Linked DNA regions of Macaca mulatta. The protein of the gene in region 1 binds, or shares a complex with, the protein of each later gene. Links are inferred from orthologs where the notes say so. Each region holds a gene or a part of one and is shown on either strand. Other genes may lie near its edges.

Evidence for each region.
Region 2: TAF3 (region 1) and TAF11 share a complex: the UniProt entries of both Homo sapiens proteins name them as parts of the TFIID basal transcription factor complex. The link is inferred for Macaca mulatta from reciprocal best matches to the Homo sapiens genes TAF3 and TAF11.
Region 3: TAF3 (region 1) and TAF9 share a complex: the UniProt entries of both Homo sapiens proteins name them as parts of the TFIID basal transcription factor complex. The link is inferred for Macaca mulatta from reciprocal best matches to the Homo sapiens genes TAF3 and TAF9.
Region 4: TAF3 (region 1) and TAF5 share a complex: the UniProt entries of both Homo sapiens proteins name them as parts of the TFIID basal transcription factor complex. The link is inferred for Macaca mulatta from reciprocal best matches to the Homo sapiens genes TAF3 and TAF5.
Region 5: TAF3 (region 1) and TBP share a complex: the UniProt entries of both Homo sapiens proteins name them as parts of the TFIID basal transcription factor complex. The link is inferred for Macaca mulatta from reciprocal best matches to the Homo sapiens genes TAF3 and TBP.

Annotation. Positions count from the first base shown.
Region 1 is NC_133414.1:9,320,500-9,326,440, forward strand, and holds part of TAF3 (transcription initiation factor TFIID subunit 3), read left to right. Parts: intron 1-4,237; coding exon 4,238-4,480; intron 4,481-5,941. UniProt on the Homo sapiens protein: The TFIID basal transcription factor complex plays a major role in the initiation of RNA polymerase II (Pol II)-dependent transcription.
Region 2 is NC_133409.1:147,386,790-147,393,343, forward strand, and holds the start of TAF11 (transcription initiation factor TFIID subunit 11), read left to right. Parts: upstream 1-2,657; 5' UTR 2,658-2,691; coding exon 2,692-2,862; intron 2,863-6,554. Other genes in the region: ANKS1A (ankyrin repeat and SAM domain-containing protein 1A), read right to left, coding at 1,053-1,240. UniProt on the Homo sapiens protein: The TFIID basal transcription factor complex plays a major role in the initiation of RNA polymerase II (Pol II)-dependent transcription.
Region 3 is NC_133411.1:77,438,548-77,444,817, reverse strand, and holds TAF9 (transcription initiation factor TFIID subunit 9), read left to right. Parts: upstream 1-2,503; 5' UTR 2,504-2,504; coding exon of another isoform or gene 2,505-2,597; intron 2,598-3,645; 5' UTR 3,646-3,662; coding exon 3,663-4,457; 3' UTR 4,458-4,616; downstream 4,617-6,270. Other genes in the region: AK6 (adenylate kinase isoenzyme 6), read left to right, coding at 2,505-2,597. UniProt on the Homo sapiens protein: The TFIID basal transcription factor complex plays a major role in the initiation of RNA polymerase II (Pol II)-dependent transcription.
Region 4 is NC_133414.1:115,512,804-115,519,523, reverse strand, and holds the start of TAF5 (transcription initiation factor TFIID subunit 5), read right to left. Parts: upstream 3,736-6,720; 5' UTR 3,700-3,735; coding exon 3,141-3,699; intron 1-3,140. UniProt on the Homo sapiens protein: The TFIID basal transcription factor complex plays a major role in the initiation of RNA polymerase II (Pol II)-dependent transcription.
Region 5 is NC_133409.1:1,494,713-1,498,692, reverse strand, and holds the start of TBP (TATA-box-binding protein), read left to right. Parts: upstream 1-1,180; 5' UTR 1,181-1,275; intron 1,276-3,517; 5' UTR 3,518-3,540; intron 3,541-3,671; exon of another isoform or gene 3,672-3,674; 5' UTR 3,675-3,822; coding exon 3,823-3,876; intron 3,877-3,980. Other genes in the region: PSMB1 (proteasome subunit beta type-1), read right to left, coding at 1-83. UniProt on the Homo sapiens protein: The TFIID basal transcription factor complex plays a major role in the initiation of RNA polymerase II (Pol II)-dependent transcription.

The DNA.
Region 1 (5,941 bases):
GCCCACCGGTAGTACTACTTTTATTTTGAGATGCACTTATCACTTGCTCTAGGGAACTCATGTTATCTGCTTTCATAATTCTGTGCATATTTCTTTTATATTATTTGTCATCTTGTTTTGTAATCACCTGTGTATGTCTCTTTCCCCTCTCCAGGAGAAAAAATTGATTATATTTGTATTCTGTAACCTATAGGGCCATTATGTAATAGGCACCTGAGAAATATTTGTTGAATAAATGAATGAACTGATAAACCACTACCCTAAAAGCCACTTATTGACTTTACATATTGAGTTCCAAAAATGTGTATGTTTTGAATGCTTGATTTCACTGATGCTTCTATTCTTCTTCTTCTTTTGAGACAGGGTCTCACTCTGTTGCCCAGTGTGGAGTGCAGTGGTGCGATCTTAGCTCTCTATAGCCTCGAACTTAAGGGCTCAAGTGATCCTCCTGCCTCAGCCTTCCAAGTAGCTGGGACTACAGGGATACGCCACCATGCCTAGCTAATTTTTTTATTTTTTTGTAGAGATGTGGTCTGGTTATATTGCTCAGGCTGCTGTCAAACTCCTGGGCTCAGGTGATCCTCCTGCCTCAGTGTTTCAAAGTGCTGGGATTACAGGCATGAGCCACCATGCCCAGCTCACTGATACATCTGGATGTGGAACCACAAAGTAATATGCATGTGTTTTTATCTTGAAAGTGCATCACCAGTTGACTACTCTTCTGGCTTTTGTTTCTTTTTCCTCTGGCTTGCTCTGCAGTGGTTCTTGAGTATACTGTTACTGATAGGATAGGCTAGGCTAGGCTAGGCATAGTCCAGATTATGTTTGCTACCATGTATCTTTAGCTATTCAAAATGTCTCCTGAATACTAGTTACCTTTCCTGCCTTTTATACAAAACAGAAGGGAGCTGGCACTCCATGTGACTAGGTATTCCAAAGTCACCCAGGGGTCATTGCAGCTCTTCAGTGTAAACCTTCTTCCTAATTACCTAATTTCCATAGCCAGTTTCTTGGTTTCAGTGAGAATGAGATTGTCAGGTTCATTATGTCCCATTGTGATTTGATGACTTTTTTTTTAACACTAATTTTGGTATACTTATTAGATATTTTTAGATTCTTTTTTCTATACCAGTCTTATTCTAAAATCGAATTCTGTAACTCCAAGTTACCACTACAGAATCTTGTATTCCACTCCTTTAAATCCTTTCTGTTGTTTTAACAAACACTTATTGAGCACCACTTATGAACCAATCCCTGTACTAGACATTGGAGACATAAAATTACTAAGATACAATCCCTGCCCATAAGGTGTGTTCAAGAGTGCCAGAATGTCAGCAAAAACAAACTGATGGTGTTTGTTTCTTCTAAAATAAATGTTCTCAAGTTAAAGCAAGTATTAGAAGTTACCATTAATTCAAATAATGAACAAATAATGAACTTCAGAATTGCCTTAGGCTGACAATTTCTCCAAGCATTCAAGGGCAGATGTCTCTGTCTGTGTCACATTATATATTAAATGTGTTGGCATGCGCTGAAAGCAGGTGCTAAATCTTTCAGACTGACTCTTCAACACTAGTACTGTAATATTTTTTGTATGGTACAGGGAGTAAATGTAAAAGGAGTAAGAGGAGAGATGGTTGTAGGCTATGGATTCTGGGGTAGGATAACTTCACAGAAAAGATAAGATTTGAGTTGAGCTATGAAGTATGGTTGTATAAAGGTATAGAGTATTCCGGGTTAGAGAATCACATAAACTAAGCTGTCCAGGTGAGATTAAGCATAATAAAAGTACCAGTAAGGTGTTCAGCTCCCTATGCAGCTAGTTCATTCCAAGGGTGTCTGAGGAAAATGTTCAACACAGTGAAATCAGGTTATGGAGGGACTTAAAAGCTAGACAAAAGAATTAAAACATGTAGTAGAAAACATTGCATACTTCTAAGTAGGGGGACAATATGATTAAAGTGGTATTTTAAGAAAATTGTACTGACAGTGATGTGCACAAGACATTGAAGTGGGCAGAACTTGAGACTATACTGAGACAGGGAAGAATAGAGAGAATAGAGAGAATAGGAAGAATAGAGAGTAAGAATAGAGAGAAAGGAAAAAAATCTGAAATCATGGTTTAAAAAAAAAAAAAAAAAGGTGCCCGGGGATGGGGAGGGGGACAGGGTTAGAAACAGTTCCAGGTTTTGGTTTGAGGCTGCAAAGCATATGGAGGAATTTAAGATGATTATATTTTTTAGACTGAGAGAGTAATAATAGCTTTAATAGGAATAGAAGAGTTGAAATGCCTGTTTACGTTCAGTAAGAAGAGTATTCGTTTTATTTGTTTTCTCTTTTTTATACATCATTAGAAGTATACATTAGAAGTAACCCATGCTTATAGAAAAAAAAAAATCAAAGACTGCAGAAGTATGTAGAGTTAAAAGTCAGTCTCCTGCTTCCACCACAGCCCTCCCCTCTACTGCAGCTTCCATCCCCTTCAACTGTTAACCATTGGCTGAATATCCTTCTAGACGTTTCTGTATGCATTACCACACATGCGTCCAATTCTAGCAAGATTTGGATTCTTGTTCATTTTACAGGGTGATTTAATTTCAGACATACTGAGTTTGAAGTGATCAAATTTCAAGATTTCAGTTAAAAAGTCAGGATTTCAGTTAAATCCTTTAGGCTATTGAAAATCGGAAACTGGAATTTTCATAGACATTTTTAAAGATGTAGAGACCTTAAGCTCTGCTAAGGATAGGCATAAGAAAAACTTGCTTTTGTAAAGAAAAAAACTCACTATATCTAACTTTTTATCTTTTTATCTCTGTTTTATGTTGTGTTTTCTAATTACATTTGAAATTTTATAGGTAAATTACCTTTATGACTGGGCATGGTGGTGGTGCACTGGTAGTCCCAGCTACTCGGAAGGCTAAGGTGGGAGGACGGCTTGAGCCTGGGAAGTTAAGGTTGTAGTGAGCCATGATTGCCCTACTGCACTCCAGCCTGGGCAGCAGAGTGAGACCCTGTCTCAAAAAACAAACAAAAACCAAACTTTTATGATCTGAGCCTTCTTTGTAAATATTCTTAGATTTTAAAAATTCATTTAATGGTATAATTCATTCAGTAGGTATTTATTGAGTGCCAGCTATTGTTATTGAGTTCCAGCCACTGTTTAAAATTCCGCAGATGCATCAGGGAACAACAGAGGAAATGTAACAAACATTGATTTTGTCAGCACAGCACACTACTTATTTGATGATTTAAAAAAAAAAGGCCAGGCACATTGGCTCATTCCTGTTATCCCACCACTTTGCGAGGCAGAAGCAGGAGGATTGCTTGAGGCCAGGAGTTCAAAACCAGCCTGAGCAACATAGCAAGAACTCATCTCTACAAAAAAAAAAAATAAATAATAATAATAATAACTAGCAAGGCATGGTGGCATGTGCTTATAGTCCCAGCTACTCGGGAGACTGAGAGGGGAAGATTGCTTGAGCCTAGGAGTTTGAGGCAGCAAGGAGCTGTGATCATACTACGGCACTCCAGCCTGGGCAACAAGCAAGATGCCATCTCCTTTTTTTTTTTTCCCCCCCTGAAACGGAATCTTGCTCTGTTGCCCAGGCTAGAGTGTAGTGGCGTGATCTCGGCTCACTGCAACCTCCGCCTACCAGGTTCGAGCAGTTCTCCTGCCTCAGCCCCCTGAGTAGCTGGGATTACAGGCGTGCGCCACCATGCCCGGCTAATTTTTTTATTTTTAGTAGAGACAGTTTCACCATGTTGGCCAGGCTGGTCTCGAACTCCTGACCTTGTGATCTGCCCGCCTCAGCCTCTCAGTGCTGGGATTACAGGTGTGAGCCACCGCGCCCAGCCAAGATGCCATCTAAAAAAAAAAAGACAAAACACTATTATTATTATTTCTGGGGCATTTTCTGTGTGTCAGGCACTGTTGCAGATGCTTTTGATCATCTGTAAACTACTTTGAAATTTGTTCTATAATATATAAGCTGATCATGAGTGTGATTTTTCTGTGGTGTTCTGGCTAGTTGTCTGATCATATTTAAGCTTGACCTTAATAATCAGCTTAAACATGATTCTGTGATGTTCTATTTAAAATATTAAATTCTTTCCAATAACTAGGTTAAAATGTTTGATTCTGAGCTGCATATTTACTTACTACCTTTTTTAATATTTAAAAATATATTCACGGGATTTCTTCAAATAATTTGATTTGCTTTTGGCTTTGTTTCAGATGGCCGAACAGACCCAGTTTTGGATGATGTTGGTGAAGCTTTCCAGCTGATGGGGGTTAGTCTACATGAACTAGAAGACTATATTCACAACATTGAACCTGTCACCTTCCCACACCAAATTCCGTCATTTCCCGTTAGCAAGAACAATGTACTTCAGTTTCCTCAACCTGGAAGTAAAGATGCAGAGGAAAGAAAAGAATACATTCCTGATTACCTGCCACCCATTGTGTCTTCTCAAGAAGGTTTGTGAGTGTTTCTTCTTCATTTGTTAGGGACTATTTTAATGGATTTTTGATCCTCTTAGCTTTCCATGCTATGCCAACTTTATACATTCTGGAAACACAATAGAAACATGTACTGTTATTTACAAATTATTCGAACCCTTAAACCAACAAACTTGCAACTGACATTACCAGGCCAAGCCATGGTGTAATCAAGGTTATGTCTGAAGCATTTATCTCCTTTGTAAAGTTTGAGTAGAGGAAAACGGTGAAGCCAAAGAGAAGCCTTTCAACAGCCCTATTATATGAGAATGGGGTATTAAGTAAACTAGAAAACCTTTAAAACAAAAAGAAAAATTGGGGTAGCTCTTTCCTCCTCGCTTACTATTCAGGCCATGAGTTGAATGCCATAGCTTTATACTGGAAACAGTGAGTGAATCGTGAGTATTCACTGATATTGTATAGACTTACTTCTGTTTTTTATGATGAGTAGAAATGTTTATTGTTTGATCATAATAGAACTTTTGATTATAAAATGATAGCTAATCAGATACAGTGGTCAGTCCCATTGCAGAGTTCCCTTTTTTCCTGTATAATTTTAGATGTTGATCACTAAGTTCACTAAGATTCTGAAAAGAGATTTAAGTAATTTGTGGTCTCTAATACAACTGCGCAGTATTTTTTCTTAAAAGACTTGGAAAAGTTGCAATTAAGTTCTTTCATTTTGTAACAAATTCTAAAACCTGTATACTTCAGGACAATGCAAATGATGCCAGCAATTACTTTTACTTACGATTTTCTATTGTAAAATATACATCACATAAATGGACCGTTGTCACCATTTGTAGGTGTACAGTTCTGTGGCATTAAGTATACATTGTTATTCAACCATCATCCCCCTCCTTCTCCAGAATTTTTTACCCTCCCAAATTGAAACACTGTTCCCATTAAAGGTATCTCCCCATTCTCCACCACTTCCAGCCCCTGCCAACCATTCCTTTTTTTTTTTTTGTCTCTATGAGTTTGTCTATTCTAGGTACCTTTTATAAGTGGAATTGTACAGTATTTGTCTTTTTATGGCTGTCTTATTTCACTTAGTATGATGTCTTCAGGGTTCATTCATGTTGTAGCCTGTGTCAGGATTTCGTTGTGTGTGTGTGTTTTTAAGGCAGAATAATACATTATATATACGTTCCACATTTGTTTATCCATTCACTCACTGATGGACATTTGGGTTGTTTCAACCTTTTGGCTCTAGTGATTAATGCTGCTGTGAACATTGGTGTGCAAATATCTGTTCCAGTTCTTGCTTTCAAGTTTTTTGGGGGTCTGTACCCCGAAGTAGAATTGCTGGATCATATAGTAATTGTCTACTTAATTTTTGAGGAAGCACCACACTGTTTTCCACAGTGGCTGCACCATCCTCACCTTCCTATCAGTGGTGCTCAAGGGTTCCAGTTTCTTGCAATTCATTTCTTATAA
Region 2 (6,554 bases), on another chromosome or scaffold:
CTTACAGTTCCAGATTGAAGCGTTTAACAACAGACCTTGGAAAAGTTTACAGCATTCCTCGGTTTCCTAAACAAGTGTCTCTGCCTTTATTTCTAGATGAATAAACCCCCGGATGAATCCTGCATATGCCACTTAGACTAATTCAATACGGTTCACTACAAGGAACTACAATTTGAACTTCAAGCACAAGAGAGGCTAAAAGACGAACATCTTGAAAATGATAAATCCAGAGGCAATTTTAATATAAACAAAAGTGAGGGGGCGTGCGCGGTGGCTCACGCTTGTAATCCCAGCACTTTGGGAGGCCGAGGCGGGCGGATCGTGAGATCAAGAGCTCGACACCAGCCTGGCCAACATGGTGAAACCCCGTCTCTACTAAAACACAAAAACTAGCCGGGTGTCGTGGCGGGCGCCTGTAATCCCAGCTACTCGAGAGGCAGCCGCAGGAGAATCGCTTGAACCCGGGAGGTGGAGGTTGCAGTGAGCCGAGATCGCGCCACTGCACTCCAGCCTGGGTGATAGAACAAGTCTCCGTCTCGGGCGGGGCGGGGGGGGGGGCGGGAAAAGCGAGGTCCTGCGTAGCCTGGTGGAAGGTTCCAAGTTCCTAAGAGAAAAAAATCAATAGAATTTCCTCCAGAGGAGCCTCGAGATTCTACAAGGCGTGGGAGTTTCTGCAGGAGGTGAGGGAGAGCATATGTATATATATGATATACATATTTGCTCCAAATTGGCTTTTGTGGGCTACGACAGCTGGCACCCTGTAGCGAGCGAGGGTGAAGCCCGGCTGTGCCATGCGGCGGAGGCTGCCACCTGGGCACTCCCACCATTCTTCGCAGCCGGCTCAGAACGGGAGACCAGGCGAGCCCGGAGCAGCGTGGACTCGGACCCGCGCGCCCTCCGGTATCCTGGCCCGTGCGCCGCCTGCCTCGCCCCGGGCACGCCACAAGCCCACCCCGCCCGAGTCTCAGGACCCCCGATCTCTCTGGAGACCCAAGAGACGGGTGGGGGAGAAGGGGTCTGCAGGCAGCGGCCCGGCCCCGGCGCGTACCCACCTGAGCAGACTGGAGAGGGGGTGGCTGGAAGAGCCGAGGCCGCCGCCGCCGCCGCCCCCAGAGCCGCCGCCGCCGCCGCCGCCGCCGCCCCCAAAGCCAGAGGAGAGCCGCTTCCCGGACAGCAGCTTCTCCACCGCCGGGAGGTGCCCGGTGCGGGCCGCCTCCAGCAGCTCCTGCTCCTTCCCCATCCCCAGGGCCGCCACCCGCTGGACCCCCCTCCCCGGGGCTGCAGCCGAGCCTGCTCGGGCTCCCAAACTTTCCGTCTCCGGGCAACGCACCCCCCAAACCGGCTGGGGACACCACCCCCCCTCCCTGCCTTTTCTCCACAAGCGCGTCACTTCCGGGATCCGGCGTCACGCGTCACCGCGCCCCCGCGCCCCGCCCCCTAGCTCACCTAGCTGGGCGGGGCTCCGCGGACCAGCGCAGGTGGATTTTGCTGTGCCGAGACAGGCCTCACGGGTTATGGGGACAGCGCCTTGTGGGTCCCCATTATATAGGTGGAAAGGGACAAACAGGCCCACCTGTACGCGCCTCCCGAAGTGCGCTCCTTCCCTAAACGTTTTGGGAGCTCCTGGGACAGGAAATACGGCAATTCGTCCAGGCAGCGCAGAAACAAAGAGATAAATATGGTAACGCGCACCTACATTTCCAAGGACATTCTTTAAGCACGCATAAATTAAATATGTAATAGGTGCTGGGACCTAGTCATACCCAGGTGAATAAAACGCCCTCCCCCTCGTATCTCTATGAGGGAAGAGAAGAAAATTTTAAAATAGAAATATCCTCACCACTTCATCCTCCCAGTACATGAACTAGTTCGTTAAAGTGAAACGTTCGAAGGAGACACCTTCCTCTCTTTAGGCTTTCCTCTTAGTTTTGGTAAGATTAACCAAAATGATAGAAAAGTGTCAGACTTGTAGAAACAAACCTCAATCTTGAATACTTGCGAACTGAAAAAAAATCATTTAATTGGATAGAAACTATGTGTGTTTTGTTCCCTGGTACTAGCACTGTTTCTAAATCGAAGTACGCAGTCAATAGTTGTGGATGAATAAATGAATTGGATAAATTCTGCTCAAGCTAGATGACTTTTTGTTGTTAAGGTGCTTGCTGAATGGAGCGGAAATGCTAGCAATTCCACGTACACACAGACCCGCGGTTTCGGGCCAGTTGAAATACACAAGGTTGAGTCTTGCCTGAAAGTTTACCAATCCCGGGTAGCCTCATTCCACGACACCGCCATACAACGGAACTGAGTTTTCTCCCGATCCCCCAACTTTACTCTGAGGGGTTAACGAAGGGATTAACTGGTATTGAATTTTTAGACAGGCGAAAAGGAAAAAGTTATTTAGTAAACAAAACTGCGCTCCTTCACAAGTGCTGGTTTCCTAGCTAGGAGGATCCATAGTCTGAGCTCTTTACGTCCAATTTTCCCGCTTCCCACTGTCGCCAAACCAAAGTTAAAATGAGTCCTCTAGTCCTCTACGCGCGCCTCAAAATGACCCCTCAGGAGAGCGGTAGGGGTGATGTCATCGCTGCGCGACGACAGGAAGTAAGATACTGTCCTGTGCAGCTCGGGGTTCCGAGCTTCTGCCTCAGACATCGCCGCGATCTCCTCTCCCCTCCAATCCTATCCGTGATGGACGATGCCCGCGAGTCGCCCTCCGACAAAGGTGGAGAGACAGGGGAGTCGGATGAGACGGCCGCTGCGTCCGGGGACCCGGGGGCTACCGACACGGATGGAATCCCAGAGGAAACTGACGGAGACGCAGATGCGGACTTGAAAGAAGCTGCAGCGGAGGAAGGCGAGGTAGGAAGAGATGTATCGATGAGGCTGAAGGAATACCCAGAGATCGTGTTACTGGGTGCTTGCCGGGCTTCTGGTTAGTCCCTCCCAAGTTACGAGAACTCGAACTCACCAGAACTCCCTCCAGATCGTTAATCTTGAGGGGGAAGAGAGCGGACGACCAAACAGAACTCCAGTGCTGGTTCCGTTCCAGAGGCTCAAGCACTGCGTTAATATTTTTAGTCTTGTCAAGGGATTAAAGCTACTTCTAAGGGAGTTTTAATAGCCTATTGGCTTTAGTGGTGAGGAAACTGGGATCCAGTGTCACACTGAGACGCAGTGCAAGAGCTAAAACCCAGGATTCGTAGCACCCCTTTCACCGCAATATGGTTCGTCTTAGATGTTAAGACAACTTTGTTTCTTTATAGGAAGGAGGGTCGATCAAACCTGTCAAAGGGAGATAGACTTTTATAAAAGTGTCGCCCGGGCTGTAGTACAATGGCGCGATCTCTGGCTCACTGCAACCTCCGCCTCCCGGGTTCACGCGATTCTCTTGCTTCAGCCTCCCAAGTAGCTGGGATTACAGGCTCACACCACCATGCCCGGCTATTTTTTGTATTTTTATTAGAGACGGGGTTTTACCATGTTGGCCAGGCTGGTCTCGAACCCCTGACCTCGTGATCCGTCCGCCTCGGCCTCCCAAAGTGCTGGGATTACAGGCGTGAGCCACAGCACCCGGTGATCAGGGACCCATCAGTTGGGTCTGGTGTTTTTATGCTACAGAGAGTTCAGCAGTGTTGCCTAGCTGAACATTGGTCAGGACCAGAAACTCATCGTTCTCTGGATTACATTTCTGGAAGTAGAATCTTGGGGTCTTAGAGCTAGAAGGGATTTAAGAGATCGTGGGGTGAACAGTAGATTAGATGGAAATAGCCTTTCAGTGTATAAAGTTGCATAAAAATGTATAAAGTAAGAACTTTTAGAAAAAGAGAAAATTTGGCCGGGTGCAGTGGCTCACGCCTGTAATCTTTGGGAGGCGGAGGTGGGTGGATCGCCTGAGGTCAGGAGATCCCCAATATGGGGAAACCCTGTCTCTACTAAAAATACAAAAATTAGCTGGGCATGGTGGCAGGCGCCTGTAATCCCGGCTACTTAGGAGGCTGAGGCACAAGAATCGCTTGAACCTGGGAGGCAGAGGTTGCAGTGAGCCGAGATCGCACCACTGCACACCAGCTTGGGTGCCAGAGTGAAACTCCGTCTCGAAAAAAAGAAAAAGAGAACATTTGACAAAAGTATTTTAAGGCAGGTTTCTTTTTTTGTTTTTGTTTTTGTTTTTGAGACTGAGTACTCGCTCTGTCACCCAGGCTGGAATGTGCAGTGGCGCGATCTCGGCTCACTGCAAGCTCCTTTAAGGCAGTTTTTGTTGGTTTGTTGAGACAAGGTCTCACTCTGTCACCCAGCCTGGAGTGCAGTGGCACAGTCTCTGCCTCCTGGGCTCAAGCAACCCTCTTATCTCAGCGTCCGCAGTAACTGGGATTGCAAGCATACTGCACCACGCTCAGCTGAAGTTTTTGTATTGTTTTGTTTTGTTTTGTTTCGTTTTTGAGACGGAGTCTCGTTCTGTTGCCCAGGCTGGAGTGCAATGGCGCAATCTCGGCCTACTGCAACCTCCGCCTCCCAGGCTCAAGTGATTCTCCTGCCTCAGCCTCCCCAGTAACTGGGATTACAGGCACGTGCCACTGTGCCCAGCTAATTTTTGTATTTTTAGTAGAGCCAAGGTTTCACCAAGTTGCCCAGGCTGGTCTTGAACTCCTGACCTCATGATCCATCTGCCTCAGCCTCCCAAAGTTCTGGGATTATAGGCATGAGCCACCGCACCTGGCCAGCTAAAGGTTTTTTAAATATTGTTTTGGTAGAGACAAGGTCTCATTATATTGCCCAGTCTGGTCTCCAACTCACTGGGCTGAAGTAATCCTTCCGCCTCAGCCTCCCAAAGTGCTAAGATTACAGGTGGGAGCCACCATGCCTGGCCAAGAAGGAAACTTTAAAACAGGTGTCAAGGACAGCAAGGATTTGAATAATTAGCTTGGTACACTAGAGAGCTCACTACATATATAAATTTGCACCGAACAGAGGATAAAATTATGTTGTTTCTGAAACACTTTTAAAAATCAATCATGTACTAGACCATGAAGAAAAATATGAATTCTTAAAAGATATCATAACAGGCCACATCTTGTTAATGCAATGCATTAAACTTGAAATTAACTACAAAAAGCTTCTCCCCCACCAAAAAAGAACCCCCTGGAAATTTTAAACTACTTTTTAAATAGCCTTTAGACTAAAGAAATTAACAGAACACTTTATCAAATGATATGGGATTTGGCCAAAGCTTTATTTAAAGAAAAATGTATAGCCTTACATATTTTTATTAACAACCAGAAGATACTGCAAATAAGCACCTGACTCAAGAGACCAGATAAAGGGCCTAGTGGAGTGGGTCACACCTACAGACCTAGCTACCTGGCAGGCTGACACAGGAGGATCGCTTGAGGCTGCAGTGAGCTATGATCCAGCCTGGGCAACAGAGTGAGTCTGGGGAAAAAACAAACAAACAAACAAACAACAGATAAAGAACAAAATAAATCAGAAGAGTGTAGGAACAAGGAGTTAATAAGGATACAAGTAGACACTAATGAATTAGCACATTAAAAAACATAAATGATAAAATTAAAACCTGATTACTTAAAATGTAAATGTACATTACAAAATATGAAAGGCTATAGGCACTAATATGGAGATCTTTAAAGCTATAAAAACATTTAATGTTCAAGTTTAGGCCAAATAAATGGGAAAATCTGAGAAAAACAGGTGAATTTTTAAAGAAAATACAAACCACCAAACTTGAAGCGCAAAGAAGTTAGAAAACTTGTATAAATCGGTAAGTAAAAAGAAATTGAAAGGATTGTCAAAGATAGACTACCTTAATCCCATCTATTCCCATATTCCTGTATGAGTTTAAATTTGAATTCCTCTTTAGGAACAAGTTAAATCTCAATGAGTTTTGTAGTATACTTACGATTCTACATTAAGTCAGAGGGGGTGAAGTTTGGATTTGATTTTTATTGTTATAAACAGGCAGTTTTTTAAGTTTGGGGGTGCATGTGCAGGATGTGCAGGTTTTGTTACATAAGTAAATGTATGTCATAGGGGTTTGTTGTATAGATTATTTCATCTCCCAGGTATTAAGCCTAGTACCCATTAGTTATTTTTCATGATCCTTTCCCTCCTGCCACCCTTTACCCTCCCATAGACCCCAATGTGTGTTCCCCTGTATGTGTCCATGTGTTCTCATCATTTAGTTCCCACTTATTAGTGAGAACATGCAGTATTTGGTTTTCTGTTCCCGCATTAGTTTGCTAAAGATAATGGCCTCCACCTCCATCCATGTCCCTGCAAAGGACATGATCTCCTTTTTTATGGCTGTGTAGTATTTCATGGTGTATACTGGAAAATACATTTTCATTATCCAGTCTATCATTGATGGGCATTTAGGTTGATTCCATGTCTTTGCTATTGTCAATAGCACTGCAATGAACATACGTGTGGATGTGTCTTTATAATAGAACAATTTATATTCCTGTGGGTGTATACCCAGTAATGGGACTGCTGGGTCAAATGGTAATTCTGTCTTTAGGTCTTTGAGGAATTGTCAC
Region 3 (6,270 bases), on another chromosome or scaffold:
GTTTATTAAATTGTAGGCCATTCGTGGAAAAATCTAATGCATGTAGATTTTATTGTAGCGTACAGAAAAATTAAGACTCTGTGGAAACAGTACAGTTACATCATTCACCCAAACGTAAGATTGTTGGCAGCGCACAAGACATGTCTGTTTCTGAGAGATGCAGATTAACCACCCCACAAATAATGTTTAGCATTTTAGATTCCTTAAGCAGAAGATTTTACATCTTTTTGTATGGATCAAACATAGTGCCCTGGTTATTAAGTCATTGTCAAAACATTTTATTGAAAATGTTTTGACAATAAAAGTGAGCATTTTATTGAAAACATGTTGAGTCCAGACTTCAGACTTGGTGTATTATAGTGGACTTGGGGTGGCTGTTATTCTCCTAGATAAGGGAACTGGATTATCCCTGTTATCTTTATGCTCAAGTTTAATTTCAGGGATGTTAAACCTGAATAGCTGAAAATGATGAATTTGATGATCTTGAAATGTAATTATAATAGGTATCATAAGAGGAAGGCAAAGAACAATGTATATAGTATTGTCATTTATGTACAAGGGAATATATATTGTATTACAAAGAGTATGTACATACATACATGTACATTTATATGCAAACATAAATAGGGTTTTTTGGGGAATATATACCTGTATAGGAAACTGGTTTACAGTGGTTATCTCTAGGGAAGGGTGCAAGGGGTCAGTAGAGGTAATACGGTGTCTTTCAGACTGCTTAAATTTTAACATGAACAGTTTTTGTTTTTGTTTTTGTTTGAGACAGTCTTATGTTGGCCAGGCTGGTGTCGAACTCCTGAGCTTAAGTGATCCTCCCACTTTGTCCTCCCAAATTGTTGGGATTACACGCGTGAGCCACCACACCTGGCCATGAACAGTTTTTAAATCTTTTTAAATTAAAGCAAATAGGCCAAGCAAACGAGCCTGTAAATTAAAGCTCATGCCCGTAAATCCCAGCACTTTGGGAAGTGGAGGTGGGGGGATGGCTTGAACTCAGGGGTTTGAGCTTAGCTTAGGCAATATAGCCAAATCCCGTCTCTACAAAAATTAACCAGGGCATGTTGGTGCATACCTGTGGTCCTAGCTACTGGACAGGCTGAGATAGGATTTGAGCCCAGGAGGTGGAGGCTCCAGTGAGCCAAGTTCCACTGCACTCCGGCCTGGGTAACAAAGAGATATCTTGACTTTAAAAGAAGAAAAAGGTTGCCGGGCGGTGGCTCAAGCCTGTAATCCCAGCACTTTGGGAGGCCAAGGCGGGCGGATCACGAGGTCAGGAGATCGAGGCCATCCTGGCTAACACGGTGAAACCCCGTCTCTACTAAAAAATACAAAAAACTAGCCGGGCGAGGTGGCGGCGCCTGTAGTCCCAGCTACTCGGGAGGCTGAGGCAGGAGAATGGCGTAAACCCGGGAGGCGGAGCTTGCAGTGAGCTGAGATCCGGCCACCGCACTCCAGCCTGGGCGACAGAGCCAGACTCCGTCTCAAAAAAAAAATAAAAAATAAATAAAAAGAAGAAAAAGGTAAATAAATTATTGTAATTGATTCGAGGTGGCTAATTTTTTTTTTTTTTTTTTGGAGACGGAGTCTCTGTCACCACGCTGGAGTGCTGTGGCGCGTCCTTGGCTCACTGCATCCTCCAACCACCCGGTTCAAGGGATTCTTCTGCCTCAGCCTCCTGAGTAGCCGGGATTACTGGCATGTGCCACCACGCCTGGCTAATTTTTGTATTTTCATAGAGATGGAGTTTCACTATGTCGGCCAGGATGGTCTCGATCTCCTGACCTCATGATCTTCCCGCCTCGGCCTCCCAAAGTGCAGTGATTACAGGCATGAGCCACTGCGCCCAGCACGAGGTGGCTAATTTTATTCTGAGTAGTTCCATGGTAGCAGCAGGCAGTTTGAATTGGCGTCAGAATTTGCTGAGCCCCACCCCTGGAGAATCAATACACTGAGTAATATTCTGACATTCAATTAGCTTTGGAAAATTTTTATTAGATCGTAGTACATGCTGATTTACATATGGCCAGGCATGGTGGCTCACGCCTGTAATCCCAGCACTTTAGGAGGCCTAGGCGGGCAGATGACATGAGATTAGGAGTTTGAGACCAGCCTGGCCAATATGGTGAAACCCTGTCTCTACTAAAAATACAAAAATTAGCTGGGCATGGTGGTAGGCACCTGTAATTCCAGCTACTCAGGAGACTGAGGCAGGAGACTCGCTTGATCCTGGGAGGTGGAGATTGCAGTGAGCCAAGATCGCGCCACTGCACTCCAGCCTGGGTGACAAGAGCGAAATTCCGTCTCAAAAAAAAAATTTTTTTTACATGTTATTGCTAATTAGAAATTTTTCATTTCAGTCGTCAAGATCTTTAAGGGCAGAGGCCAGGTGAGACTCTGCCTCAGAAATAAAAAAAGGAAGGGCACAAGGTGGGCTGCAGTGTGATAAGTAGTATTTCACAAACAGTATTTTTCTGTGGCTTGTCTTACAGGTACACCAGGGGTTGGAAAAACTACACTAGGCAAAGAACTTGCGTCAAAATCGGGACTGAAATACATTAATGTTGGTGATTTAGCTCGAGAAGGTAAGGGACACTTTGGTGTTAGATTTGTTTTGTTTTGTTTTGTTTTAAGTCTGATAGTGGAGTGTTAGTGCTGGGTATTGTCAGAAGGTACAAAAAACAGATTGCCATTAAAGAATATATACTCTTGCCTGTAATCCCAGCACTTTGGGAGGCTGAGACGGGCGGATCACGAGGTCAGGAGATCGAGACCATCCTGGCTAACACAATGAAACCCCGTCTCTACTAAAAATACAAAAAAATTAGCCGGGCGAGGTGGCGGGCGCCTGTAGTCCCAGCTACTCGGGAGGCTGAGGCAGGAGAATGGCGTAAACCCGGGAGGCGGAGCTTGCAGTGAGCCGAGATGGCGCCACTGCACTCCAGCCTGGGTGACAGAGCGAGACTCCGTCTCAAAAAAAAAAAAAAAAAAATATATATATATATATATAGTCTTTTAGGGAATCCACAGAAATATTAAGTGTCTAATGCTATGTCCTGGTTATTTTGAGCATTTTCCCTTCCTCCTTGAAAATGGCTAGCAATTCTTGTGAATAGTTGGGAAGGCTCCTATGAAGAGACTGGATTTCGGAGAGGTAGAATGTGAATAAGGAGAGTGTTTTCAAGTTGAGCAAACAAAGGTTTGGTACTGCTGAACATATATATGAGCACAGTGAGTGTATTGGTCTCACTGGAAAGAGATTGTTTTGAGCTCAGGTGTAGGACATGACTATGCTATGGTATCTTAGTGTGAGGTTTGCATGCAACTGCATATATTCTAAGATGATAGATGTTTTTATTTATTTTACCCTGTTTTCCCCTAATCTTTTATCACTCCCTTATTTGTGTCTTCATCTTTTTATAGTTGACAATGATTTGTACATGGTAGGAACTCAATAAATTAAAGGGATTTTAAGTATGCCTCATTAAAATTAAGAAAACATATGGTTTAAATTTAAAAAATTTTTTTACAGTTTAACATAGATTAAAAAATTTTTTAAGTTCCTGACAGTTGCTACTAAAGTAACTATTTCAGATTGATCTAATGTACATATTTTTTTCAAATGATCTAAAGTCTGATCATCGGATATCATGGAGTCTGGCAAGATGGCTTCTCCCAAGAGCATGCCGAAAGATGCACAGATGATGGCACAAATCCTGAAGGATATGGGGATTACAGAATATGAGCCAAGAGTTATAAATCAGATGTTGGAGTTTGCCTTCCGATATGTGACCACAATTCTAGATGATGCAAAAATTTATTCAAGCCATGCTAAGAAAGCTACCGTTGATGCAGATGATGTGCGATTGGCAATCCAGTGCCGCGCTGACCAGTCTTTTACCTCTCCTCCCCCAAGAGATTTTTTATTAGATATCGCAAGGCAAAGAAATCAAACCCCTTTGCCACTGATCAAGCCATATTCAGGTCCTAGGTTGCCACCTGATAGATACTGCTTAACAGCTCCAAACTATAGGCTGAAATCTTTACAGAAAAAGGCATCAACTTCTGCGGGAAGAATAACAGTCCCGCGGTTAAGTGTTGGTTCAGTTACTAGCAGACCAAGTACTCCCACACTAGGCACACCAACCCCACAGACCATGTCTGTTTCAACTAAAGTAGGGACTCCCATGTCCCTCACAGGTCAAAGGTTTACAGTACAGATGCCTACTTCGCAGTCTCCAGCTGTAAAAGCTTCAATTCCTGCAACCTCAGCAGTTCAGAATGTTCTGATTAATCCATCATTAATTGGGTCCAAAAACATTCTTATTACCACTAATATGGTGTCATCACAAAATGCTGCCAATGAATCATCAAATGCATTGAAAAGAAAACGTGAAGATGATGATGATGACGATGATGATGATGATGACTATGATAATTTGTAATCTAGCTTTGCTGCATGTAACATGTATACTTGGTCTTGAATTCATTGTACTGATATTAAACATGCATGCTGGATGTTTTCAAGTTGTGTTTTAGAAAACTTTAATAATAATTAATGAGTAAATACAGTTACCATACTTTTCAATTGAAATGAAGGTTTTTCATCAGCCTTAAAAGTGTAAGAAAAATAAAGTTGTCATTCATTACTTTGATTGTTGGTGCTTTGGCAGTTATGTTTTTAAAAGCAATTTTCTCCCTGTTGTCACCAAGGGGAGTAACAGTTGACAGTTGCAGCAACTTGCAGTACTGTAGTCTATTGTTGACCACTAGAATGTCACCTCAAGTGTCTTCAGATATATAGATCACAGTATGATCTCTGGTGTATGTCACTCTTGTGATCTGTTCTCTCAGTTGCTGAAGTATAACCATGACTCCTCTTTGGAGAGACTAGTTGGTCAGGATTTTTATTCATAGTGAATTCTTAACCTGCTTTGATTATCTTCCTCAATTGTCCAACTTCCTAGGTCCCATTTTTCTGTCCCTTTGGTTATATTAAGGACCCTTAGTGTCTCCCAGTATGTCTCCACTTTTTTAAAAAAAATTTATCAGTGTCTCTTTTTGCAGGTTAATTTTGAGCATCTTTGTTTTTCATATTCCTGATACTATAAGCCAGTATCATGTTCATTTTTGATCCAGGGCTGATGATTAGGTTATAGTTTATATTTTTTTAATTTTTAAAATTTTTTTGTCCAAAAGAACATCAATTTATCAAGGTTATAGTTTCTGAAACCTAGATCTTTATTTGCTATCATACAAATACTCATTTTCCATTTCATTTTATTTCCTGAAACAGAATCTCATTCTGTTGCCCAGGCTGGAGTGCAGTGGCACAATCTCAGCTCACTGCAACCTCCGTGTCCCAGGTTCCAGCGATCTTCACACCTCAGCTTCCCAGTAATTCCAGTAGCTGGAATTACAGGTTTGCACCACCACACCTGGCTCATTTTTATATTTTTAGTAGAGATGGGCGTTTGCCATGTTGTCCAGGCTGGTCTTGAACTCCAGGCCTCAAGTGATCTGCCCACCTCGGCCTCCCAAAGTACTAGGATTACAGGTGTGAGCTACCGCACCTGGCCTTCCTTTCTTTCTTTTTTTTGAGACAGAGTCTCACTCTGTTGCCCAGGCTGGAGTGCAGTGGTGCAATCTCAGCTCACTGCAAGCTCCACCTCCTGGGTTCATGCCATTCTCCCGCCTCAGCCTCCCTAGTAGCTGGGACTACAGGTGCCTACTACCACGCCCAGCTAAGTTGTATTTTTAGTAGAGATGGGATTTCACTGCGTTAGTCAGGATGGTCTCAATCTCCTGACCTCGTGATCCACCCGCCTTGGCCTCCCAAAGTGCTGGGATTACAGGTATGAGCCACTGTGCCCAGCCCAGCCTTTACGTTTTATATCTATGAAATCTGGTTTTGTTCCTCATTGTTGAACACCACCATTTTGACAAGTGATTTCTGAGTCACATAATAGTCAATTTCATTCATGCATTCTAATGTTACTTTCACTTAATTTAACACTTCTAAGCTAATTAGAGCATTAATAGCATTGAGAGCAATGGTTACACTAGACCAAGGAAAATCCAGTATAAGGCACTTGTCTTCCTCTTCTTTAGGTCCTCTCCTACCAGTACTCACACCATTTCATTTGGTTAAGACAGAGTCTTGCTCTGTTGCCCAGGCTGGAGTGTGGTGGCCTGATCGTAGCTCATTGCATCCTTGAACTCCTGGGCTCAAGTGATCATCCTGCCTCAGCCTCCCTT
Region 4 (6,720 bases), about 110 Mb from region 1:
GAAGAGATAAGAGATTACAGCAAAATAACCAACAATATAATTCATCTTATAGTTCATTCACAAAATTCAACATTAAAAAAAGATTCCTCTCAAACACTTTTTTTTTTTTTTTTTTGTAAAGACGGAATTTTGCTCTGTTGCCCAGGCCGGAGCGCAATGGCGCTATCTTGGCTCACTGCAACTTCTGCCTCCTGGGTTAAAGTGGTTCGCCTGCCTCAGCCTCCCGAGCAGCTGGGACAACGGCACATGCCACCACGCCCAGCTAATTTTTTTGTATTTTTAGTAGAGACGGGGTTTCACCATGTTGGCCAGGCTGGTCTTGAACTCCTGACCTCAAGTGATCCACCTGCCTTGGCCTCCCAAAGTGCTGGGACTACAGGCGTGAGCCACCGTGCCCGGCCTTCAATCCACATCTGCACACATTTCTATTTATGGATTAAAATGAGATATGAATACAATGCTATGTATTCATACTTCATTTCTGGCAATGCTGCAAAGATTAGGCCTCATACAGATTAATTTGGCTAAAAGCTCTGCACTGGATAATTCAATAAACATTTATTGTCAGCTCAGGATCACCTCTGAGACCTTATATTGTATATGAGTTTTACTGCATGGATTTGTGGCAACAGTTGCTGTGAGAAAGCAGTGGCTCAGGTGTCAGGAACACATACAGAGGCATAAACTTATCCATACCAAACATTTTACATATACATATTACAAGTGCCTCACGTGGCCGGGCGCGCTGGCTCACGCCTGTAATCCCAACACTTTGGGAGGCCAAGGCAGGTGGATCACGAGGTCAGGAGATCAAGACCATCCAGGCTAACATAGTGAAACCCCGTCTCTACCAAAAAGACAAAAAAAAAATAGCCAGGTGTGGTGACATGCGCCTGTGGTCCCAGCTACTTGGGAGGCTGAGGCAGGAGAATCGCTTGAACCTGGGAGGCAGAGGTTGCAGTGAGCCAAGATTGTGCCACTGCACTCCAGCCTGGCCGACAGAGCGAGACTCTGTCTAAAAAAAAAAAACCCTCGGCCGGGTGCGGTGGCTCAAGCCTGTAATCCCAGCACTTTGGGTGGCCGAGACGGGCGGATCACAAGGTCAGGAGATCGAGATCATCCTGGCTAACACGGTGAAACCCTGTCTCTACTAAAAAATAGAAAAAACTAGCCGGGCGAGGTGGCGGGCGCCTGTAGTGCCAGCTACTGGGGAGGCTGTGGCAGGAGAATGGCGTAGACCCGGGAGGCGGAGCTTGCAGTGAGCTGAGATCCGGCCACTGCACTCCAGCCTGGGCGACAGAGCGAGACTCCGTCTCAAAAAAAAAAAAAAAAAAAAAAAAAACCCTCATAACCACTCATGTAATAAAGGGAGAAAATTCAACATGAGAATGACTTGTCTCTTGACAATATTAATGTAAAAAAAAAATTTTTTTTTTTTTAAGACAGAGTCTTGCTCTATCACCCAGGCTGAAGTGCAGTGGCGCAATCTTGGCTCACTGCAACCTCGGCCTCCCGGGTTCAAGCAATTCTCCTGCCTCAGCCTCCCAAGTAGCTGGGATTACAGGCATGCGCCATCACATCTGGCTAATTTTTGTATTTTTAGTAGAAAGGGGGTTTCACCATGTTGGCCAGGCTGGTCTCAAACTCCTGACCTCAGGTGATCCACCCGCTTCATCCTCCCAAAGTGCTGAGATTACAGGCATGAGCCACCACGCCCGGCCAATAGGAAGGTAAAAAAAAATTAAAAGGTAAGAAAAGAATGACAATCAGCATCACACATGTAAATGCAGCAAAGACGAAAAGGTCTGTCCAATGCCCATGCCTAAACACATGGTTCTCAAGCTGCCCTATGTCAACACTCCTTAGAAGCTCTTATTCAAAAGTGAAGATTCCCAGATTCCACCTCTAGAGGATCTGATTCACTAAGTCTGAAGTGATGCCCAGGAACCTGCATCCTCCAAAGACTTAACACTGGTGGTACTCAGCCCATATATATCTTTAAAATTTCAGTCGGGTGCGGTGGCTCATGCCTGTAATCCCAGCACTTTGAGAGGCCGAGGCGGGTGGATCATGAGATCAGAAATTCAAGACCAGTCGGACCAATATGGCGAAACCCCGTCTCTACAAAAAATACTTTTTAAAAAATTAAGCGGGGCGTGGTGTCGTGCGCCAGTAGTCCCAGCTACTCGCGAGGCTGAGGCAGGAGAATCGCTTAAATCCAGGAGGCAGAGGTTGCAGTGAGCCGAGATTACACCACTGTAGTCCAGCCTGAGCGACAGAGCAAGACTCCGTCACAGAAAAAAAAAAAAAGAAAAGAAAAAAAAAAAACTTTTAGCTGAGATTCAGGGGGTACATGACGTGCAGGATTGTTACAAGGGTATATTGTATGGTGGCTGGGCACGGTGGCTCACGCCTGTAATCCCAGCACTTTGGGAGGCCGAGGCTGGTGGATCATATGAGGTCGGGAGTTCGAGACCAGCCAGACCAACATGGTGAAAGCCTGGCTGTACTAAAAATACAAAAATTAGCTGGCCGTGGTAGTAGAAGCCTGTAGTCCCAGCTACTTACGAGGCTGAGGCAGGAGAATCGCCTGAACCCAGGAGGCGGAGGTTGCAGTGAGCCGAGGTCGCACCACTGCACTCCAGCCTGGGCAACAGAGCAAGGCTCCGTCTCAAAAAAAAAAAAAAAAAAAAAAAAAAAAAAAAGTCCATAAAGTATTTATTAACACATCTTTTAAAAGGAAGTAAAGAAATAAAGAGAAAATAAAGTACTTATAAAACTTAAAGTACGCTAGTACGAAACTGTACAAACACTGTTAGTCTCAGGCGGACCTGCCCAAGGCTCAAAAGCCCAAATGAGAGGAAAGGGACCAAAAGCGTGAAGGTCCCCGCCTCTCCGCGCTCACCTTCCCATACATCCCTCTGCTCAACAGCTCTCCTCAGCCTCTCGCTGAAACTGACAGCTCGGAAGGGGGTTTGACTGCGCAGCCGGCGCACTAGAGAAAGGGGCGGGCATGTGGCCCTAGAGGCGGGCCCAGGAAATTCAAAACAAGCCCGCAGAGGTGCAGGCCTGCCAGCCCCTGCCTTACCGGCTTGCTCCCCTTCGCGGCGGCCGTGCCTCCCCGGAACCCCACGGCTTACCTTTACCCGGAGCCGCAGGACCTGAGGCTGAACCTGAGACGGCCGTGACCCCCGAAGCGCCAGTGCCCGGAGGGTCGGGGGCCGCAGGGCCAGGGGCCGAGGCGGTCACCCGGCTGAGAAGCGCGCTGGCCACCTCAGCGCCGACGCTGTCCACCTCTCCCGGGGCTCCGGAGCCCGCCACTGCCTCCTCCAGCAGCCGGGCCTCACGGCGCAGCGCCTCTTCGGCCTCGCGGAGGTTGCTCTGCCGTAGGAACTGCAGCACGGCCAGTAGAGTCTGTCGGTCGTGCGGAGCGCCGGCCTCCGGAGCAGCCGCAGGCACCGGGGCCGCCCCCGCCGGGGCAGCGGTGGAGACAGCCACCGTGAGCTTGGGGGTCCCGCCATCCCCGCCAGTGGACGACGATGCCGCAACGTTCCCGCCGCCGCCGTTAGGGCCGTTGTTGGTAGTGCCGCCGCTACCCTCGCCTGCGCCGTCCCCCGCCTGCGGAGGTAGCAGCGTTGGCGGTCCCTCAGGCTCTAGCTTGACCGCCACCTCCGTCTGCTCCTCCGCCAGCGCCGCCATCTTGCGGCTGAGCCACCTTGCGCCGTCAAGCGTGATTGCATTTTCGCCACATGGAGGGCGGGGAGGAGCATTTCACGACAACTCTAGTAGGCCATTTACGGCAGTAGGAGGGGCGAAAAGGAAGGAGAAACGGAATAGGAAAGAGAGCAACTTTCAAAAACGGGCGAAAGAAAGGCAGGAAGTGGGCATAGGGAACACCTATTACATTTCTCTGATAATAATTGCCATTTATTGCAGAGCAGCTATATTTAGGCATTATGATAGACGTTTTACATTATGTGATCTCCTTCAATTCAATAATCTTTTTCTCTTTTTTTTTGAGACGGAATTTCATTCTTGTCGCCCAGGCTGTTCAAGCGATTCTCCTGCCTCAGCCTCCCCAGTAGCTAGGATTACAGGCATGCGCCACCACGCCCGGCTACAATTAAATAGTCTTATGAGGTAATATTATCCCCACCCCACAGATGGCTCTGCCGAAACCAAGAAAGGTTAAATAACTTACCAGAGTCACGCAAGAAGAAAGTCCAAATGTCAACATTCGAATCCACGTATTTAACTCAAAAGTATATACCATTTGCCAGAGGAAGGCTTCCAAGATACTGGTAATGTTTTACGTTTTGACCCGGATAGTGCTTTTTTTTTTTTTTTTTTTTTTTTTGCAATTTTTACTTTTGTAAAAGTTAATCAAGGTGCATGCTTTATGAACTTTTAACCATATACATTACATTACATTACATTTTTTTATTTACTTATTTATTTTTTGAGACGGAGTCTCGCTCTGTCGCCCAGGCTGGAGTACAGTGGCCCGATCTCAGCTCACTGCAACCTCCGCCTCCCGGGTTCAAGCGATTCTCCTACCTGAGCCTCCCGAGTAGCTGGGATTACAAGCATGTGCCACCACGCCCGGCTAATTGTTGTATTTTCAGTAGAGACGGGGTTTCGTCATGTTGGCCAGGCTGGTCTCAAACTCCTAATCTCAGGTGATCCGCCCCTCGGCGTCCCAGAGTGCTGGGATTACAGGCGTGAGCCACTGCACCTGGCCCATACACATTACATTGCAATAAAAAGTTTTTAAATGCAATAAAAAGTTTTACAGGCGCGGTGGCTCCCACCTGTAACCCCAGCACTTTGGGAGGCCGAGGAGGGCGGATCACGAGGTCAAGAATTAGAGACCAGCCTCACCAACCAACATGGCGAAACCCCGCCTCTACTAAAAATACAAAAAATTAGCTGGGCGTGGTGGTGCGCCCCTGTAATCCCAGGTACTCCAGAGGCTGAGGCAGAAGAATCGCCTGAACCCCGGAGATGGAGGTTGCAGTGAGCCGAGATCTAGCCACTGCGCTCCAGCCTGGGCGACAGAAGGAGACTCCATCTCAAAAAAAAAAAAAAATCACAGAATTTTGTGGTTGTGAAATATGTACGTTATGTATTCATGCTATTATCCGTTATTACAAATAAACCATTTTAATTGTATATTTAAAACTCGGCCGGGCGCGGTGGCTCAAGCCTGTAATCCCAGTACTTTGGGAGGCCGAGGCGGGTGGATCACGAAGTCAGGAGATCGAGACCATCCTGGCTAACATGGTGAAACCCCGTCTCTACTAAAAATACAAAAAACTAGCCGGGCGTGGTGGCGGGCGCCTGTAGTCCCAGCTACTCGGAGGCTGAGGCAGGAGAATGGCGTAAACCCGGGAGGCGGAGCTTGCAGTGAGCCGAGATCGCGCCACTGCACTCCAGCCTGGGTGACACAGCAAGACTCCGTCTCAAAAAAAAAAAAAAAAAAAAAAAAAAAAACTCATGGCCGGACGCAGTGGCACATACCTGTAGTCCCAGCACTTTGGGAGGCCGAGGTGGGTGGATCACCCGAGGTCAGGAGTTCCAGACCAGCCTAGCTAACATGATGAAACGCCGTCTCTACTAAAAATATAAAAACTTAGCCAGGTGTGGTGGCGCGCGCATGTAATCCCAGCTATTCGGGAGGCTGAAGTAGAAGAATCACCTGAACCCAGGAGGTGGAGGTTGCAGTGAGCCGAGATCGCACCATTGCACTTCAGCCTGGACAAGAAGAACAAAACTCCATCTCAGGAATAAAAAAACAAAATCATATATGCCATTTTGCAATGTGCTTCATAGGTTATAAAACCCTCCTGCATATTTTATCTCATTGGAACCTTGTAACTCTGTGAAATAGGTACAGATGAGAAAAGTGAGCCTGAGGCATTGGGAAAATCTAGCACAGCCGTTCAAGTTATTGGTTTTGAGGTCTTACCAGTGTCCTTTGACCCTGCTTACTTTTTAAAAATATTGTATTTTATTTATTAGAGATCTGGAGCCTTATTATATTGCCTAGGCTGGCCTTGAACTCCTGGACTCAAGCAGTCTCCCACCTCAGCCTCCCAAGTAGCTGAGACTACAGGCACAGACCACCTGGCTTGACCTTGCTTACTGGCTGAATAACCTGGAGCAAGTTGCTTAATTTACTATGCCCCAGTTGCCCAATTTCTGTTTTTTTTTTTAATTTTTTATTTTTTGAAACGGAGTTTCACTCTTGTTGCCCAGGCTGGAGTGCAATGGCGTGATCTCGGCTCACTGCAACCTCCGCCTCCCAGATTCTAGCGATTATCCTGCCTCAGCCTCCCGAGTAGCTGGGATTACTCCCATGTGCCACATCAGGCCCAGCTAATTTTGTATTTTTAGTAGAGACAGGGTTTCTCCATGTTGGTCAAGCTGGTCTCCAACTCCCGACTTCAGGTGATCTGCCTGCCTCAGCCTCCCAAAGTGCTGGGATTACAGGCCATCACACCTGGCCCCAGTTGCCCAATTTCTCACCAAAACACTAACAGTACTTACATCACAGTGTTTTGAGAATTAAATGAGATAATGCATATGCAATAGCTAGTACATAATAAGTAGCCATTGGTTATTTCTACTTCACTTTAAAAGGTGTTCTGGCTGGGCGCGGTGGCTCACGCCTGTAATCCCTGCACTTTGGGAGGCCGAGACGGGCGGATCACGAGGTCA
Region 5 (3,980 bases), on another chromosome or scaffold:
AGCTGCAAAGGGCCCGCGGCTCCGTGCGGCTCCATCCCCAAGTCTCTGCCAGGAGCCGAATACATGGCTACGGAGGACAACATCGCACGGCTGCGCCTGCAGCTCCAGCTCCGACACCTGCTGTCTCACGGCGAGATGGCTGCCTTGACCGGACGTTACGCCACTTCCGGCTTCTCCTGAAGTTCGCTCCCGGCCTCTCTATCTTGCGCTAGTCGTTGCTCCTGGAGGGCTGCAGGGCGGCCTGTCCCTTTGGTAGTTGGGTCCCGCCCATTCCAAAAAAGCTGACAGAAAAGTAAAGGTTTCCCGCCCCCCGTCGAAGAAAACATTGGAATTCACCCCAATGGACGAAAATTTAAGTCTGACCATACAAAAACATTGGCAGAACTATGGCGCAACGCCAACTCGAATAACGGTGAGCGCGTTAATTGTCCTGGCTAATAAAAAATGTATATAACATTTCCTATCCTTAAAGAGCTCACAACCTCACTGATAATAAAGAGTACAAAGAAAACGAGCAGTATAACATGTGACTACGCCACAATGAACTACAGAAGGGAAAATCAGTTCCCACTAAGTTCTAGTCCCACTAAGAAACAACTGCGGATAGAGCCTTGTGACCACAGTGCATGAAACGGGAGTGGCAGAACTGAATATAAATGCGTGTGTAAACACAAGCCGTTTGTTTTGCTTAGTGTTCCTTGTCATTCTACACCCTTGAAGATCAGCTAGCGTTCTTGCACAGGTAAGGAGCACGCGCTTACTGAGTGCCAAGTACTGTCAGTCTCTGTCAATCTCCCGACAGCCCAACGGTAAGCACTATTATCACTATTCAATTTTACAGAAGAAACTGCGGGGGAGAGGTCAGGTAACTTGCCAAAGGTAACACCGCTAGTTGCTTTAAACCACCACCACAACAACAAAACACACACACATATAACCATTTAAAAATCGATCTGTCCTATGTCCAGCAAGGGCCAATTAGAGACGGCTGTGGCACGGCGGCCCCGCCCCGGAACTCCTCAAGAGCTTCGCCCCTCCTTACCTTAAGCTCCGCGCCTATGGAAACACAGGAAGTGACCTATGCCCACACTTCCCAGGGCCTCGGCCCTAGTGGGAGCAACTCGCTGAAGCCGAGGGCAGAGCTGGCGGAAGTGACATTATCAACGCGCGCCAGGAGTTCAGTGAGGTCAGGCAGGTTCGCTGTGGCGGGCGCCTGGGCCGCCGGCTGTGAAACTTCGTTTCCTCTGGCCCATGGTCATCTTTGCAGTGACCCAGGTAACAGCTTGTACTCTTTTCTGAGGGTTCGGGCGGAGGCGACCACTGCATTGAGGCCTGGGGACAATGGTGGGGAAGAGAAGAGGAATTGGCGCGCGTGCAGGCCCCGCGGGGGACGTTCCTCCCTCTCGTGCTGCCGCCGTTCCGGCCTGTAACGGCCGCTCGGCCGCCGCTCCCGCCTGGTGCCCTACTCTGCTGTGTGTCGCCAGCGGCTTCCCATCGTACGATTGTGGGGCGCAGGGTACTACTGACGGGGCGGCGGCGGGCGGGACAGGACAGTCCCTTGCATCGAAGACCTGAAGTTTACCCTGCCCTGTCCTGCCACCGCTTCTTCTCCATGTTAGAAGGCAGATTCACCCTGGTCTGTGCCCGCCTGTTTTGCTACCAACATTGAGACTTAAGTATTTTGTCAGAATCCTGAGACAGCGGGCACGGTAGCGCTTAAGATATAATACACACCATTTATTTACGGGGCCTCCCATCTCTCGGTCAGGCCATCATGGTTTTCCAAATCTCTAGGTAGGCTTTTCTGTGAAAAGACTGTGCTTCATTTAGTTATACAGACACTAGAAGGCTATGCAGAATTAATTTGATTGCCTCCAAAAAATACCGGATTTGATGTTTCAATTTCCAAGAGCTGAAGATACCCAGCAAACAACTCTTTTCTGAGATAAATTAGTGCAGTAATCACCGTACGGTTTCTTCTGTAGACTTACTTGCAAAAAGTGGCCTGAAGCCACCGCAGGTCCTGGATAAATAAATCTCTAGTCCTACTTACAATGGGTTTAAATCCTGCCGTCATTATCTCTTGCCTCACCCTTAGATCCCTGAAGCGGAACTTCCAGCCTCTAGTTTTACTCCTCTCAAATTCGTCTAGTCTTGCCAAATTAGATCTATTCATACTGCACTTCCAAAATTCCATAACTGTTATTATTGCCTATGCAGTAACATTTAAAACTCCTGATAGTATGAGCCCACCAATATGTGCTATTTCATCTGCAGTGACCTTCTATACAGTCATACTAAGCTTGTCGCCTGCATTCTGCATCTTTTTTCAATCTGTTATCTCTTTCTGCTTGATTTCTCTTTTGTCTGAAGCCCTGTTTTGTAAATTCCTACTCACCTTGTGAGACCCAAGTTAGATGGTCCCTGCTTTGTGAAAACACTGCCCTCTCTTCATAGTAATTGGCTGTTAGTCTTTATTGTCTTCTCTTCCAGGGGTGTATATGGGCTCATTCATGATCACATACTGCATTCCAGGCATAGTGCTAGATGCAGAGATCACAAAGACATGTAGACTTTCAAGACTTAGCTTAGGCCATACCTGCTACTATAATACTATGTTTTACAGTAATTATTTGCATACCCTTCATATTGAACACTTTGATGCCAGGGACTACATCTTCCTATCTTTATATCCTCATCTGCAGCACTTTTGTTATTATAGGATAACTGTCAAAAAAAAAAAAAAAGCATAATTTAAAAAATGTCTTTGATACATTTATTTCCAGAAGCACAGCTTGCTTTCTTTTTTGGTCTGTTTTTCAGTGATGAGTATATAGCATAGATAGTTTTTGGGGGCCTTTGCCCTTTCAAAGTGATCGTCAGAGTCTTTCATATATTCAGCAAATATGTGAGTGTCTACTTTGTACCAGCACATGCTTGAAGTGCATATGCCTGAAGGGTCTTTGGACATATAATTTGTAACTTTGAGACCTCTAAGTTCCATGTGAGAATATGTTATTATAAACTCATTTCAGATGTATAGTGAGTAAAGTGATGACGATTTAAGAATAGTCAGATAAAACGCACAGTTTGCACTATTGTGTTCTAAAGAGGTAAGGTTATTACGTTTATAAAAATTCAGAGCTTTATCTTTGTGCAGCTTTTTTTTTATAGTTTCATTACAGTAGGAGCTTGATAAATGATCACTCTGAAGTATATTGGATTGAATTTAATAGTTACTTAATTTTTTGCCCAAGACATTGTAGAGGATGTAAAATTGGGATATTTAAAGATCTGAACTTTGCCTAACAGTGCTGTGTATACAGTGCTTAATAAATATCCTACTCTGATATTACAGTTTCTTTTGGAATTAGTTTTCTGTAGGTGTTTTTCCTCAAAAGTTTTTAATGCTGGTTATGACAGCTTAATTTTGAGCATTATCTGAGTATTTAAACGTGTAACAAAATGATTTTTGTTTTGTTGGCGATTTTACATGCAATCACCGGAAACCTGGAAGGAATAAGACTTTGGGATTATAAGGTAAAAACAAATGTACTCCAGAATAGCTTCATTGGTTTTCATGTTTGTGTTTTGTATAGCCATGGAACTGGCTTATAGGACTGTATAGGTTACCTGGATCCTTAAATTAAACTTCAGACTTTTTTCCAAAGCAGCATCACTGTTTCTTGGTGTCTGAAGATAACCCAAGGAATTGAGGAAGTTGCTGAGAAGAGTGTGCCTGAGATGCTCTAGGAAAAAACTGAATGGTGAGACGAGTTCCAGCCCAAGGGTTTCTGGTTTGCCAAGAAGAAAGTGAACATCATGGATCAGAACAACAGCCTGCCACCTTACGCTCAGGGCTTGGCCTCCCCTCAGGTAATACAGCAGGAGGGAGAGAATAGGGAGGGCGGAAATCTGAACGGCAAGAGATGGTATCAAAAGGCAAGGAAGGGCATTTAATGATCTGTTTTTGAAAATGA